2 linked regions of the Elephas maximus indicus genome follow. The main gene of each other region encodes a partner of the protein of the gene in region 2 in a complex. Links are inferred from orthologs where the notes say so. Each region holds a gene or a part of one and is shown on either strand. Other genes may lie near its edges.

Region 1 (7,928 bases), on a different chromosome or scaffold from region 2:
TTGCAACTTTAAGCAAGATGACATTTTAAAGATGAGAAGGTGAAAAGAAAAAAATGCTAGCCTTTAAGTATTTCCCAGCAGAGCTAAACCAGAAGTCAAAACAGGAAATTACAAGTCAATTTAACACATGCAAGAGTCTCAGGTACTGTCTGACTACACTAGCTAATTGGCCTGACAAGCAATGGCAAACAGCCATTAACTAACAGTGCCAGGCCTCTCATTCTGGTTCCAACACTCTACTACATAATGAAAAACTTCATTCCTGCTCAGAAACCCTGGGTCACTTAAATAACATTAGTACAAAACATGCCATGTCATGAAGCGCCTCGATATTCATGATGACTCAGCAACTGCTGCAAAACATCCAATTTGACAGCTTAGGGTAGAATACAGCAAGCAGGTAGTTCACAAAAGTTTCAGTAAAGACTAAGGAAAAGCCCTTAATATAAGATTAAAAAACAGATAAACCAGAAAGCACTCTTCTGTATATACCTGAATACTTTTCTTTGGTAGTTCCTGCCAGTATTAAATAAAACATGTAGTGTTGATCAAGAAATCTCAAAACATCTTTAATCCCAATTCAAAAGCTAAAAATACATATATATTTTTTAAATAAATCAAGCAGCTGGGGCAAGAAGCTTAAAGTATTTTAGATAGGGAGCAATGATAATTTACGAAAATTTAAAACTTAAAAACTATACAGCCTGAAATCGTATCAATTCTAGGGCAGTTTAGATCACAGGCATTCTGTTAAGACATTATTTCCTCAAAATTAGATTCTTATCTAAGTAAATTTAAAAATAAACTGTGATTACAACTTTCGCTGCCTGGAATATATTAACTCCCTTCTAAACTCTGTCCAAACTTTTTATTCATCTGTATTGAAAACGTTTTTCTATGTGTAGTAATTTTCTTTTAAGCAAATCGTAGAAAGCACTGAGATATTCTATAGGAGAAACAGAAAGCATGTATGTCTTTCATTCTACAAAAGAGGCTTAAGTTAAATGGTCAAGGCTTGTGACCTGAATTCTAGCATTAAATCTGCCTACAAGTACCTGTTCCTCACAAAGCCATGTGAAAACGAGGCACTTTCTGTACATATCCGTGGAAAAACTAGCAGGAGATAATAGTAATGCCAAGCCTTCTGACTATTAGAGACCTACTTGGTATAATACATAATCCACAATTTTTACTTTCAAAAGTTCTCCTCAAATCTGTACTTAATGATACAATTTAACACCACCAACAAACATGTTAAAGTGTTCATTATTATCATGCAAAATAAAGCAATCTAGGAAGTCTACCTGACTGTATGCAACAAGTTATTACACCCTTTTGCTATACTTTTGTTTCTAACAAGTTTAAGACACACACTTCCCACCTTAGTGTCAATCAGTTTTATAAGTGGCTTTATTAAAATAGGTATTTGGTATTTTCTGCTCTACCATCCGCCAACACACAAATAACATTTAAAAATGGAATTTTCTCAGAAACGAATGTCTCATTTATACTTAGGCTAAACTCCTTATAATTTTTAACACCCAGGAGTGTACACGGTGATTAAATTATAAGACCACAAACATTCCTAGAGCGTCAAAAGTCCTTAAACTTTTAGAACACGCCCCATAATATTAAAATATTTTGTGTATGAGATCAGAAATGGAATCCTGGTCAACTGTGGAGAATGGCCAATTCTAGTTTCCAAAGTAAAAGGAGGAAGAAAAAAAAAAGAGACAGGTGGGGAGGGAAGAGCCGCGCAGCGCAGAAAATACGTAAGGGTGGAGAGGGACTTTCAAAATGCCCCAGTGCCACGGTTAACTATATCCCGGTTAAGAAAAAAAAGTTGAGCGAATGCTCTCAGATTGAGGACGGACAAGGGCGGCGGAGACGGAGAATTAATCAATCGGCTGAGAGTATATTATTCCATTTTCCGTGTAACAGCGCCCCCCAGTCTCCCGTGAGTCCAAGAAGCCGATTCCTCGGAGCAGCCCCCTCCCCACACACTGAACCGCGGGAGACTAGAAAACGCACAGCCCGCGTAATGGGCTCCGGCCGCATCTTTTCCTTTCTCCCTCGAGAGGCTGTGAGTAATACCTCCAAATCCCCAATCCCCGCCAAAAAAAAGAAAGAAACGCGCGCACCGTGGGCCTAGAATTTCTTTTCCCGCCCTGAGCCTGCCGGGGAAGCCCCTGACCCAGAGACTATGCGAGAGGCGGCCCAAGCCACACATGTGCGCCGCACGGCTGGGCCTGTCTCAGCCCACTTCCCGTCGCCACCCCAGCGGCCTGAGCTCCCGCCGCCTCAATCGGGCCTTCCTCCGGCCCTCCCATCCGATCCACGTGCGGCGGGTGTGGGGAGCCAGAGCCCCGCACTGCCTGACCCCTCTCGCCCAGCCCCCGACCCGTTAGGCCACCGCGGCGTCGGGGTTCCGTACCTGGTGCTGTTGTCGCCCCTGCGCGTAAGGCTTAATTGGCCCCTGGTGACAACGCCGCGTCCGGATCTTGCCACCGCCGCCGCCGCCCCCTCCTATTCCTCCGGCTCCCGAGGCCATGGTGGAGCCTCCGCTGCTTCCCGCTCCGCGGCGGGTAAGGGGGGCGGGAGAGGCAGAGGCGACGGCCTTAGAGCCCCCCCCGCCCGGTCCCGGCCCAAAAGTCCGCCCGCGCTACCCACACGGTGGGACACAGGCACACCAGGGACCTCGAGGTTGCGAGCAGGAGGGGAGAGAGGGTGCGCGCTGGCAGAGGGGGAGGGGGTGGCGGCGGCGGAGGCCGAGGAGCTGGCTCCGGTCCGGCAGCCTTCCGCGGTCCCCCGCCTCTGTGTATGTCACGGTCTCTATGGAGATCTTCCGCAGAGGACAGTGCGAGCGGCTCCGGGCGCTGCTGAGGCCTAACTCGACCGCCGGCTGGTAGGGGATCTTCTTCCGTCGCTCTAGCCGTCGCTGCCGCAGCTGAAGCCGCCGGCGCCGCCCGCCTACCCCTCCCCTCTGCGCACAGCGCCCGCCCTGCCGTCGTCGTCCCTGCAGTCGCCGCCGCTGTTGCGCCTATTGCCGCTGCTAAGGCCGCCGCGGTCGCGAGCCAGGACACCGTCACTCGTTAGCGCCCGACGCCTATGCATCATCTCGCTGCGACCTGCGAGGGGAGGAGGAAGGAAGAGCTCTACGAGCCCGCGCTCTCGGCCGCGCGGTGCGCTGGGTAACGTAGTTCAGGAGGAGCACGTGAGTTCTGGCAAAGGAAGGCGCGGGGTGGTGGATCCGCCGAGCGCCGCAGAGGCACTGAGCGGGCGGTTACGTTCGTTTTCCTGCCCTTAGCTTTAGGCTTAGGCTCTGAAGAACCATTTAACATAAAAACAGTAAGCTCCCAACCACTCTACTTCTCCCTATCTAGCAGAAAGTAAGCAGAGGGTGAAATCAGCGACAGGAGCTAAGTGATATCTTTTAACAACAACAAAAACTCTGTGGTTGAAAAAGCAATGTCCAAAATCATTCGTAGGCCGAAAGCACAATTAGAAAATGTATACAGCTTCATTAAGGTCCTATTAGACATATACACAAGGGCTAGAATTCTGGCTCCCCCACTCAAAATCTCTGAACCTTGGCGTCCTCCTCCAGAAAATAACTTTTAAGTTCACCTTATAGAGCTGGTGCCTACAAGAAATGCAATAAATGGTGGCTATTATGATTACCTACGCAGCTCACAATAGAAGTAAAATGTATATTTTCAGTAATACAAGTGTGCATATGTATGTTCCAAATAAAAGGCATCGTGTTCAGGGAGGTAAGTGAGCATAGGCTCAAGATTGAATCCATACGTATGTAGAGATTCTAAGCGCTGACGGTTAGACAGGTCTTGATGATCACGTGGACCGCCCCTCTCAACGGACACCAAAGACTTCCTAGACAATTTGGGTGGTGCGTTCAAGGACACAGAGCTGGGCAGTCAAACCCAGAACTGTAACACAACTTTTGTATAAGAGTCAAGATGAGTAGTCAGATGATTAAAGAGAAAACTCTACTATTGTTCCATTTTGAGACAGTTGATTTTAAAGCTTTTAAGTAGCTTTGGAGTCAAATAGACTTAGTTTCAAATCTATCATTTACTAGCTGTATAGTCCAGAGGAAGCTATTGATCTTCTCTGTAAGCCTCAGTTTCTTTATCTGTAAATAGAATGAATTTTTATTTCAACAGGATGGTGGTTCTGGTGAAAGGGCTTATGTATTTATGTGCTGTATAATACCTAGTTTATAAAAACTACTGTGTAGAAAGCATTTAATATCAGTCAAGCTGTCAGGTACAAATCTTTAGCGCCAAGATTTTTATACAGTCTCCACCACCTAGCTGCTCAATTCAAAAGTCACTATATAAATCACATAAGTGAAATTGTGAAACCAAATTTATAGTACCTTTGAACTTGTAGTATGTTTCAGCACCTAAAAGAACTATGCTGTATAGGCATAGGCTTACAAAGCATATGGTTTTCAGAGGCATCTCTGACCAGAAGCACCAACACTCAAGAAGTTGCCAAATATGAAAAACAAAATTAATTTGTTTCCCTGCCCCAGCCTCGTGCCTTCACCATACCTAACTCCTCACTAGACTTTCTAGGTATACCTGCTCAGCACTTTACCCTTCTTAAGTACAATTGTTTCTCTTGGATGCTTTCCCCTCTTCAACTGAAGCCTGGTTCTTTTGTAAGCCTTAGCTAGGTATTTGACAAGCGGGGTGAAGTAATTCTGGATAAGCTAACTCACATGGAGAACCTCTACCTGAATTTCCTAACTGGGCTACATATATAGGAGATTGAACTGTAGCCACATCCCATTTTTCCTTTTCATCTACCAGACTCAAAATTTCCAGTACAAGACTATGGACTGGCTAGAGCTCAAAAATGATGTCTTTCTTGGAGGCGTGGGTCAGCCCTCACATTCAAGTTTTGAAAGCAAGGGCTGTGCAGAAGAATTGGGCCAAACTTCAGAATCAAAGATTGGTGGGATTTGAGAAGCTGTGGAAAAATACAAATTCCTTTCAGTTGTTTAACTCATTAACTCACAGAATTCATTTAACTCATTTCACATTTACTTTATTCCTTTGATGTAAAACAACATCCAAGGAAACAATAATACACTAGTTCCACATTTGTGTGACTGCATTTTTGGAAGCTTTACCAGGCAGTTTGAGAGCAGAGACAGAATAAAGGACAGGAGGGAAGCTGTGTTCAAAACTTCCCACTGCTCAGTTTTACCCTGACATAGTATCAGCCTCATTATGGGATGAGATGACTTCTTATTGCATGGTTTGGGATGTTAAAATAACATTATTTCTGTGCTGAGATATAGTGTAGAGTTCCAAATCACCATCTCACACATTTTTGGAACTCATTCTTCTGTTAGCAATTACGAGTAGTAGAATGAGTTATAATAAATTATTTTGATTGTAAAGCTTTAAGGAAAATTATAACAAAAGATCTGCCTGCATCCAAACAAACAAATAAATATTGAGCATTGCTCTAAAAGATACTATATATAAATCGGAAAAAAAGGTCAAATGGCATATAACAATAATAGGGGTTCTTGAAATCCTTCCAGCCATGTTGGAAATTAACAAGCGTTTGAGGAAGGAAATAAGTATTATTTAGTGCTTATAATTAAGCACTTTACATAGATAATAGGATTTAATTTCCTCAAAAACCTATGAGATATTACTATTTGTATTTCACAGAATCAGAAGCTACCATTTATAAATTTTGTGTTATGAACTAGCTGTCTCTTTCTTCATCCATTTCTTTCTATTAGTAACTTCTATTCCTGTCAGTCTTTAACCAGTAACCAAACCAACCCATTGCTGTTGAGGCGATTCCGACTCATAGCAACTCTATAGGACAGAGTTGAACTGCCCCATAGGGTTTCCAGGGAGTGGCTGGTGGATTTGAACTGCTGACCTTTTGATTAGCAGCTGTGCTCTTAACCACTACACCACCAGGGCTCCCAACCAGTAACCAACTGCCTTCAAATCAGTCACCACTCCTGGTGACCCCATACGCGTCAGAGTGCACTGGGCTTCATAGGGTTTTCAATGGCTAATTTTTCAGAAGTAGATCACCAGGGCTTTCTTCCCAGGTACCTCTGGGTGGACTCAAAGCCCCTACCTTTTGGTAAGCAGCCAAGTGAATTAACCATTTATACCACCAAGGGACTCCTTATCAGTCTTTAGGCCAAGTCAAAATTGGGATGGCTTTAGTAAGTGATCTTGTGTTTTGGGTTCTTTCATTGAGTAACTTTTAATAGAAACTTGCCCCCCCCACCCCACACACACACACACACACATACACACTAAATTTTAAGCTCCAAAAGGATAAGGAATTTTTTCCCAGTGTTATAACCTCAGCACATGGATCAGTGCTGACACATGGCGGTCTCTATAGATACTACAGTTCATTTTCCCAATATACCATTATTACCAATACAGCTAAACTCATTTATATAACCGGATCTAACCTGACCTGAATGTATTTGCTACATAAGAAATTAATTTTTTGCAATTCATGATAAAGCATGAATACCATGAATAAGTCCCTATGAAAGTGTTATATAAAGATTTTCATGTTATCCTAACAATCCTGAGAAGAATCATTATCCTCATTTTACAGAAAAGGAAACTGAGTCACTGAGGGGATAATAATAAATTGCAGCACTAATGAGTGGCAGAGTCAACGTTTAAAATGATTTCTCCACTCCTTACCCCAAAGCTCATCGCTTACCTTTACCATCATTCTACCACTTTTGTAGCTAGTTTAGGAACCCACCTACCATTTACAATATTTTTTATTTGAGAATATATTATTTCCAATTCAATTAAGAACAAAATGTTTTAGGAAGATCTCTCTCTGATGGCCTCCACACGGACTGGAATGTTTCGAGTCTGGTCCTACTGTATTGCAGAGCAAGAATAGACATTTGCTTAATGTGATGTGATAACCATGGAAAGACCAGACTCAGATAACTCAGTCAGGGTCACCTGAGAAGCAGGAAATCCCATCTTGGCACAAAGATAAGAGGATATTTTGTGGGATGGAAATGAAGAGTACACCACCAGGGCCATTTTGGTGTAAGAAATGTTGTAACCTATGAATGTCAGAGAGAAGCCATGTTAACAAAACCAATAAAATTCAACTATAGCATAGAGACAAAAAGAATTCTGTGAAGGATAAGGAGAAAACTAATAGCTATTCATTTTTAGACCAAGTGGCAGAAACTGACCAAAAAAGAAAAAAACACAAAAGGACAACAATCCCTACTTCAAATAACCAAAGATGAAAATCAAGAATAGATCAGCTGTATTTTTCTTACCTGGATTCAGTGTTGTCAGCCAAAACAAATGGCCTGTTGGGAGACATCTCAATTTATGAAAAGACTATTTACTACTAGGATACCCCTCCCCAAGAAACTTCTTTATTTTTCACCATATAAATGATAACTATCTGTGAATTATAACTTAGCAAATACAGAGGCTGCTGACCCTTCTCTAGTAGATAAGGAATAGTCACTAATTACAAATGGAATACAATTTAGTCCAAGCCTAACTTGGATTGAAAAATAGCCTTCACAAAGCAAAAGCAAAGAAGTTTCCTGGACACATCCCAATACTTTGAGGGACAGAGTAGCTGGGGCTGGGGCCTGGGGACCATAGTTTCAGGGAACATCTAGGTCAATTGGCGTAACATAGTTTATTAAGAAAATATTCTACATCTGGCTTTTGTGAGTGGTGTCTGGGGTCTTAAAAGCTTGTGAGCGGTCATCTAAGATACATGGATTGGTACCATCCCACCTGGAGCAAAAGAATGCAGAAAATCAAAGACACAAGGAAAATATTAGCCGAAAGGACTAAAGAAAGGACCACATGAGCCAGAGACCTCACTAGCCTGAGACTAGAAGA
Region 2 (7,592 bases):
ACCCTACCCAATCTGAATGGGAGTGAACTAAGGGGGAAGCACTTGCTAGACTGGTCTTGCTACCAGCAATCTGGACTGGCATAGCAGCTGGGCCTGATGCCCCTTTCCAAGGTGAAAAAGTCTGAGTAAAGATAAAGGTCAAATGAAGGGAAAGAGAAGTAATAGCTGAAGGTAATGTAACGAATAAATGAGTTATGCAGTAGGGGAAATATAACATTATGCTGATACCTCAAGAGAGACTGAGAGCAAGGGAATAATCTCTCAGATAAATTTTATCAGAAGCCAGAAAGGGTGAAGGTAGAGATGACTTTTGGAGAACCTGACCAGATCATATGGACACCTGCAGCAAACCTGAATGGCTGGTACCTGAGAAACCTCATGCTGAGGACTGTTTGCCCTACCGAAAGACTAATTGCTAATACCTGTTTTGGACTTGTAAAATGATTGGGAGGGGAAACATAATCCTTCAAGTATGAAAGGGCCAATGACTAGAAGAGTTAGGAGGTGGCCTGCAGTACAATGAATTGCTCAATATGGCCCTTCTAGCCATAGTTTCTGTGATTCACACACAATGATTGAGTGCAACTACGCAATTAAGGTGTATAGAACCTGTGCTGGTTGGGGTTGTGTGTCAATTTGACTAGGTCATAATTCTCAGTATTATATGGTTGTCCTCCATTCTGTGATCTGATGTAATTATCCTCCCTTTTACGATGCGTTGTGAATCCTAGCCTGTATGCCTGTGGTTGTGTTAATGAGGCAGGGTTAGGGATATAGCTTGAGAGTCCGCCAGGCACTTCTTGGAAACTCTATGGGGGCAGTTCTACTCTGTCCTCTAGGGTCACTAGGAGTTGGAATCAACTCAATGGCAGTGGGTTTGGTTTTTTGGGTTTAACCACCTTACTAGAGGGTGTGACTCAAGACACCACCCTTACTCCAGTTACTACCCTTACTAAAGGGCATGACTCAAGTCACTGCCTTCTCAAGTAGGGGAGTTTCCTTGAAGGTGTGGTCTGCATCAAATATATATGAATGCTCTGGGGAAGTTCTCTCACTCTAGATCCTGCATTTCGGTCATGATCATCTAAAGTCTGATTCTTGGAGCTTGAGCCAGCAGCCTGATCTCTGACCTGCCGATTTTGGGATTTGCCAGCTTTCACAGCCCCTTCAGCCAGCAGCCTATTGTCTGACCTGATTTGCCAACTTCCACAGATTTGTGAGCCAGCACCCTGTTGTTTGACCTGCCAGTTTGGGTTTGTCAGCCCCTGCAGCCACGTGGGTCTGGAGAAGCCTCCAGCCTGATGCCTGACCCATGGATTTGGGACTTGCCAGCCTCTATAACCATGTGAGCTATTTCCTTAAGATATGGTTCCTGAGTTCTGTGAGATGTTGCAGCGAATTACTGAACCCAAGGATGGAAGGAACAGTACTAAGAGGAAAAGGAGCAGTTCATGTTAAAGATGACGGAGTAGGACAGTAGTTTGGAAAAAAGTTGGACATGTGTGGCATCTTTAACCTCCACCTCACAGGAACCAGCTTTGTGCTGATCCTCGTAAAAGAAATTATTCATTCAACATTATTTACAAAACTTAACCTTCCTTATCAAGGTACAGGTGAGGAGGAAGAGAATCAGTATGAATCAAACATGTGCCCAGTCTCTGGCAAATTCCTTTATCTTTTTTGACCTTCAAGTAGCAATTATTGTATCCATTTAACAAAGAAATTAGGGCACAGAACAATTAAATAATTTGTGCACACTCTAAAAAGTAGCAGATCTAGAACTTGAACCTAGCTCTGTTTTACTCCAAGTTTGTTGCGCTTAGACTTTCCTCAGTTGTCCTTCTTAATCAGTGTAGGGTGTTGATCTGTGGATATCTCTGGGCTCCTGATGCTCAGAACAGGGCTTGGCTCAGCAAGCTTTTGAAAACATGTATCAAAATGCTTATCTTTAGAGTGGAAGAAGGAAGATGAAAATTGAAAAGGATGCTATGAGAGTTAGGCAGAGTAGGAATATGTGGGCCCAGGAAGCCCTGGATCCACAAAAAAATCCTCTCCCAGCCTAAGGTCCCTGGGAATGGGCTATATGTCTATCACAGTATCAAACAATACTACTTAGAAATCACCATGGTCTCAGGAAATTCCTCCTTGAAGCACTCCTTGTCCAATATGTCCACCTCCACTCTCCCCACAAGTGTGTGCTATTTAAGGATCCCAGCTCCTGCATACCTGATGTGTATTTCTGAGCCTCTTCTCTGCATCAGACCCCATGTCTTAAGAGTATGTAGAGTTAAGAATGGAAGCTCCTTGACATTAAGGAATACAAACAATACCTAACACTTATTCAGGGCTTATTAGGTACCAGGCACCATGCTAAATGCTTTATATGTAATATCTCATTTAATTCTCACAACAACCTTGTGAGGCAAATACAGTTGTTATCCCCGTCTTACAGACAAGGAAACTGAAGTTTAGAGAGGTTAGGAAATGTGTCTAAGTTCACACAGTTAAACCCAGATTTAAGCCCAGGGTTCTCTGACTCTAAAGCCCAACATTTTTACTATGATTTCCTCACTGTAGAAAATAATTCACTCATTCATGCATCAAACATCTAATGTGTATCTACTCTGTGCCTGATCCTACCAAAACCAAACCCGTTGCTATCGAGTTGATACCGCATAACGACCCTATAGGACAGAGTAGAACTGCCCCATAGGGTTTCCAAGGATTGCCTGGTGGATTTAAACTGCTGACCTTTCGGTTAGCAGCCATAGCTCTCAACTACTACGCCGCCAGGGTTTCCTTGCCTAATCCTAGGAATTCCAAATTAAATTAGTAGAGAAAAGTCTTGAACAGAGTTGTGCTTGAGGAATGAAGGAGGAGAAATCAAAGGTTCAGGGGGGCAGTGAGGAAGCTACAGTAACTATTCCTGGAGAGTTTATGACTTTCTGATGTACAGCAAAGGTGTTGGTGGGGGGTGGAGAGCCGAGAGAGTAGGAACAGGTGGGGGGCCTGGTGCGGGGGGGATGGAGACAAAAGGAGGGATGTTTGGATGGAGTTCAAGGAAGGTGGCTCGAGTTAGCTGCTTAAACCAGCTTTACTATTTGGCAATCAATGTATATTTTTTATCTTCCTTTAAGCACATCCATCATCTTATTTCATCTATACAACCACGACACTTTCTGACAAATTAATCAAATATCCCTTTCTACTATTAAAAACTCAGGATTTAAGTTCACCTATGCTTTGGGCAGAGCCCATTTCAGTTTTGCATTGATGGAGGTGGTGGTGGAGGGTAGTCCGAAGACGTTTTCTGAGCATGAGCACAGCCCCTGCTTTTCTGTATGAGATCCTCAGCCACTAGATCAATCCAGTTTCTAGAACATTGCTCACCTCTCCTCCTTGTCATCAAGTTTTTTTCTGTTCTGGGCACAGAGGACAGGCAAGTAAATAATAGGATACAGTGACTGAGGCCTGTTAGGAACATTAGTCCAACTCTGCTTGGTGAGGTTGGCAAATGTATCCCAGCGAAGGCGGGAACATTTGAACGCGGCTCTTAAGAATAAGTTAGGGTTGTCTGAGAAGACGCCTGGCGGTACAGTGGTTATGCCTTAACCGAAAGGTCCGCGGTTCCAACCACGAGGGAGCCGCTCTGCAGGAGAAAGATGTGGCAGTCTGTGTCTTGGAAATCTTAAGGGGGAAGTTCTACTCTGTCCTATAGGGTTGCTATGAGTCAGAATCGACTCGATGGCAATGGGTTTGGCTTTTTTTTTAACTGTAGCTGTTATCAGGAACGAAGTCCCTGGAATCCTCACTTGTACCAAGCTCTATGCTGGGCTATTTCCTTAGGGCATCTCAAATGTTCATAAAGTCTATTCCAGCGTATATAATTCCCCCTTCTCTTTTACGAGAGGTTACTGAGGTTCAGAGAGGGTGTACTACTGCTGGCATGGGTCAAGAGATGTGGGGGCCGCGATTTGGGGTTTCAGAGCCGTCGCAGGCAAGTTCTTCCGACAGACGGACCTCCCGGGAAAGACCTAGCTCCGCACGTGGTATGGCCAAGAAGTGTGAGCAAGGCGACAGGGCAGCCTTCCCATCACCGCCCGCGGACCTGGGGGGCGGGGGGGCGACGGAAGGGTAGAATAGTTACCAAGCCATCCTGGAGCCTTCCTTCTGATTGGCCCGAGCTTCCGCAGCCGGAGTCTTTGGGCCCCAAAGAAGGGGAGGAGCGTCGGTATGGCGTCACCACTCCTCTCCCACACCCCGCCCGGTCCACCCCAATCTAGCCAGTCACCAGCCCACTTCTAGGGGCCCTATGTGACGCCACGACTCTCTCCCAGCCAACCGCGGCAGTGTGGGGGCGGGACTCCATGATCCCTTCCACCGCTCCTCCCCTTTCCTCTCTCTAACTCTTTATGCCCCTCCTCTTCCCACTTGTCCCTTCTCCCGAAGACCGCCCTCACGTTCTGTTTCAAAAGACTAGTTGCCCAATGAATAACAGGGCGGGCCTAGAGTGGCGGCCTCGTCTGCCAATGTTCAGACAGCGAGGGCGGAGCGCTCAGAGCGAGCCTCTGACGGCAGGCGGCGTGTGACGCAGTCGGGCCCTCTGCGCTTTGCGCCCGGAGCGGCGGTCGGTAGCGGTGGTAGTGGCGGCGACGGTTTCGTGGCGGCCGCGCGCTGCTCAGAGAGCGGCGGGTGGCGAACGGGCCTGGGCTCTCACTCCTGACACTTCCCCTCGCCCACCGCATCGCGGTAAGTCGGGAGCCGGAGCAGCGGCGGCCGGGGGCCGGCAGGCTCCTCCCCTCAGGGCGGGCGGCTGCGCGGGGCGTCCCAGGCCCTGTCAGCGCCGAAGTCTCGCGCCCGTCGCGCACCTTCTACCCTGAGGGAGGGGGCGGGGCCCACGATCCTGCGGCCCCCAGGCTTAGCTTTTTGGGCCCTGGGAGGGAATCGATGTGGTGGGGTCTGGACCGGGGGTGGGGGTGGGGAGGGGGTGGTCTCCAGTTGCAGCCCATGGGGATAGAGCATCCATTTAGCTGGTTGTACTGGTTTTTTTTACTCATTCATACGCTTGGCGGTGATAGGCGCCGGCGCTGGGCCGGCCTCGCCTTAAGACCCTGAGTATGATCTTCCCAGACTTTCTTGACGTTGGTGCAGAAATGGGTTTCATTTGCCATGTCTTTTGCACGAGACAAAGGTGGTAGGTGGGTGTGTTGGGAGTTTGCTAGCTTTCTAAGATAATATCTGAGAATTAGGATCGGTTCAGTGGAGTACAGGGTTATTTTCTGTTCTCCCACGTGTTCCGTGTAAAGCCAGATGAGAAACAACATTGGGTTCCTGGATAGTTATATAGAAATTATTTGAGCTAGTCACTCCCCTGCATCACATGCAAGCTGTACAGATGGAGAAACCGAGGCCTAGAGAAAGGACGGGATTAGCCAGACGTCCAGACTCAGTCTAGAAATTTTTTACTACACCCTCCTGGGAGGTCAGTCTTTGATTATTGAGGATTCCGGGGATGGGGAGGGGAGATATTCGATAGTTAGGAGTAGATGTAGTCTTAAAGAGCGTTTTGAATTTGAGTGTTGCTATCTCTTCAAAATAAGAGAGAAGCTTCATTAGTGGTACCCTTACCTAGACCAAGGGAACTAACCTTAAAAGTTGATTAAAGAACGTTTGTGGTGTTATGTATTGGAAACGAATTGATAAAACTACAAGTCGTTGGCTAGTTTCCCGTTTTAGATCTGAATTTTTGACCCGTGTTAGCGACTGTGGATTCTGAGGAGTCCAGTTAGTGACCCACAACAGCATTGGGAAGTATAGACAAGACGTATAAAGCTAGGCAGCGGTCACTTTGTAATTCTTGTACCTTGGAACTCCATGGTTCCTGTTTGGTGCAAAGTTCAAAATAAAGTATTCTGATAGAATAAAATGAGGGAATTAAACTCCGATTTGGAAGAAGCAGCTAACTGCAAGAAAAGAACAAGGATTATTCTCTTGGCAGTTTCATAAATTCAGAAAGAAATATTTGTTAACTGGGTGACAGATGGTATGTTTACTTGGAGAGAGAAGTTAGGATATCAAAGCCAGACATTGGACAGGATGGAGGTAATGGACATAAATACTTTGATAAAATTATTATTTTTTACTGTTTATTTAAGATTTAGAAATGGAATTACTAGTTTTGCCCCTTTGGTCTATTCTAGTCAGTCAGATTGTTACTTCTTGTTTATATGACAAAGCAAAAACTGAAAAATTTCGTAGTGTATGAGAGCAGACAAGAGCTGTAGTCTAAATACTAAGATGTGGACAGTGTGTGTTTTCTGTGACATTTTCTCAGTTCAAGCATTGCTTTCTTCTGGGAAGACTTTCCTGGCATTCTATCCCCCTCAAGCTTCCATAACACTTATTTGATACTTCTGTTTATAGCACATACAGTTTTGCATTTTAGCTGTTTAATTTTTTTTATTATACAGTGGTAAAATGTTGTTATCTTTGTATTCAGGTTGCTTGGCATGTAGTAGCCAAGCATGTGTTTGCTTGAATGAATAAACAAATACAGAGGAGTTACCTAAAAATAATCATAAGAGAGTCTGAGTATTTACATGCTTCTGAAATGTGAGGCCCAGATAAGAGAATTGATATAGCTTATATAATGTGTAATTTTTATTTTGGTACCTGAATTTATTCATGTCCGTTAGCTCCTAGATTTAAAAAAAAGAAAAAAAACCTAGTCCAGTGCCATCGAGTCGATTCCAACTCATAGCGACCCTATAGGACAGAGTAGAACTGCCCCACAGTTTCCAAGGAGCACCTGGTGGATTTGAACTGCCAACCCTTTGGTTAGCAGCCATAGCACTTAACCACTACACCACCAGGGTTTCCTGGATAGCTAAGAGCAAGTAGAATTTCTAGGGAACCAAACTTGCTGGCAGATTAGAAAAAATCGGTCGTATTATTTTATTGTATTATATTATCAGTTATATTATTTATTTGCTGACAGTTAACCTAGAAGTAAGGGATAGTAGCTCTGATGTTTATTTCCAATAAAGAGCATATCTGTAATTATGCAGTTTGTTGAAAGATTAGGGGATTTAGAAATTTAGAGATTTAAAAATAGGTATTAGAGGCACGGATTGTGTTAGAAGTGGGATTAGAGCCCATGCCTCCATTCAGAGACCGGAATGCCTGCAGGCAAGGTGTGCACCTTGAGTCTGGTGCCTTACACTACTCAGCCATTCTGACAAGTACAGCCAGAATGATCCTTAGAAGCAAGGATGATGAGACTTTGTCTCTTGTACTTTGGACATGTTATCAGGAGGGACCAGTTCCTGGAGAAGGACATCACTCTTGGTAAAGTAGAAACAAACAAACAAAAAAAACCCTGCTGCTGTTGAGTCAATTCTGACTCATAGCAACCCTATAAGACAGGGTAGAACTGTCTCATAGAGTTTCTAAGGAGTGCCTGATAGATTCTAACTGCCGACCTTTTGGTTAGGAGCTGTAGCTCTTAACCACTACTCCACCAGGGTTTCTGGTAAAGTTGAAGGTCAGTGAAAAAGAGGAAGATCCTCCATGAGATGGATTGGCACAGTGGA

What was found. The genes of interacting proteins can lie anywhere in the genome.
Region 1: NUP98 (region 2) and NUP153 share a complex: the UniProt entries of both Homo sapiens proteins name them as parts of the nuclear pore complex. The link is inferred for Elephas maximus indicus from reciprocal best matches to the Homo sapiens genes NUP98 and NUP153.

The regions. Positions count from the first base shown.
Region 1 is NC_064819.1:63,114,002-63,121,929, forward strand, and holds the start of NUP153 (nuclear pore complex protein Nup153), read right to left. Parts: upstream 3,083-7,928; 5' UTR 2,552-3,082; coding exon 2,435-2,551; intron 1-2,434. UniProt on the Homo sapiens protein: Component of the nuclear pore complex (NPC), a complex required for the trafficking across the nuclear envelope. Functions as a scaffolding element in the nuclear phase of the NPC essential for normal nucleocytoplasmic transport of proteins and mRNAs.
Region 2 is NC_064825.1:53,106,399-53,113,990, reverse strand, and holds the start of NUP98 (nuclear pore complex protein Nup98-Nup96), read left to right. Parts: upstream 1-4,562; 5' UTR 4,563-4,749; intron 4,750-7,592. Other genes in the region: PGAP2 (post-GPI attachment to proteins factor 2), read right to left, coding at 4,148-4,155. UniProt on the Homo sapiens protein: Plays a role in the nuclear pore complex (NPC) assembly and/or maintenance. NUP98 and NUP96 are involved in the bidirectional transport across the NPC. May anchor NUP153 and TPR to the NPC.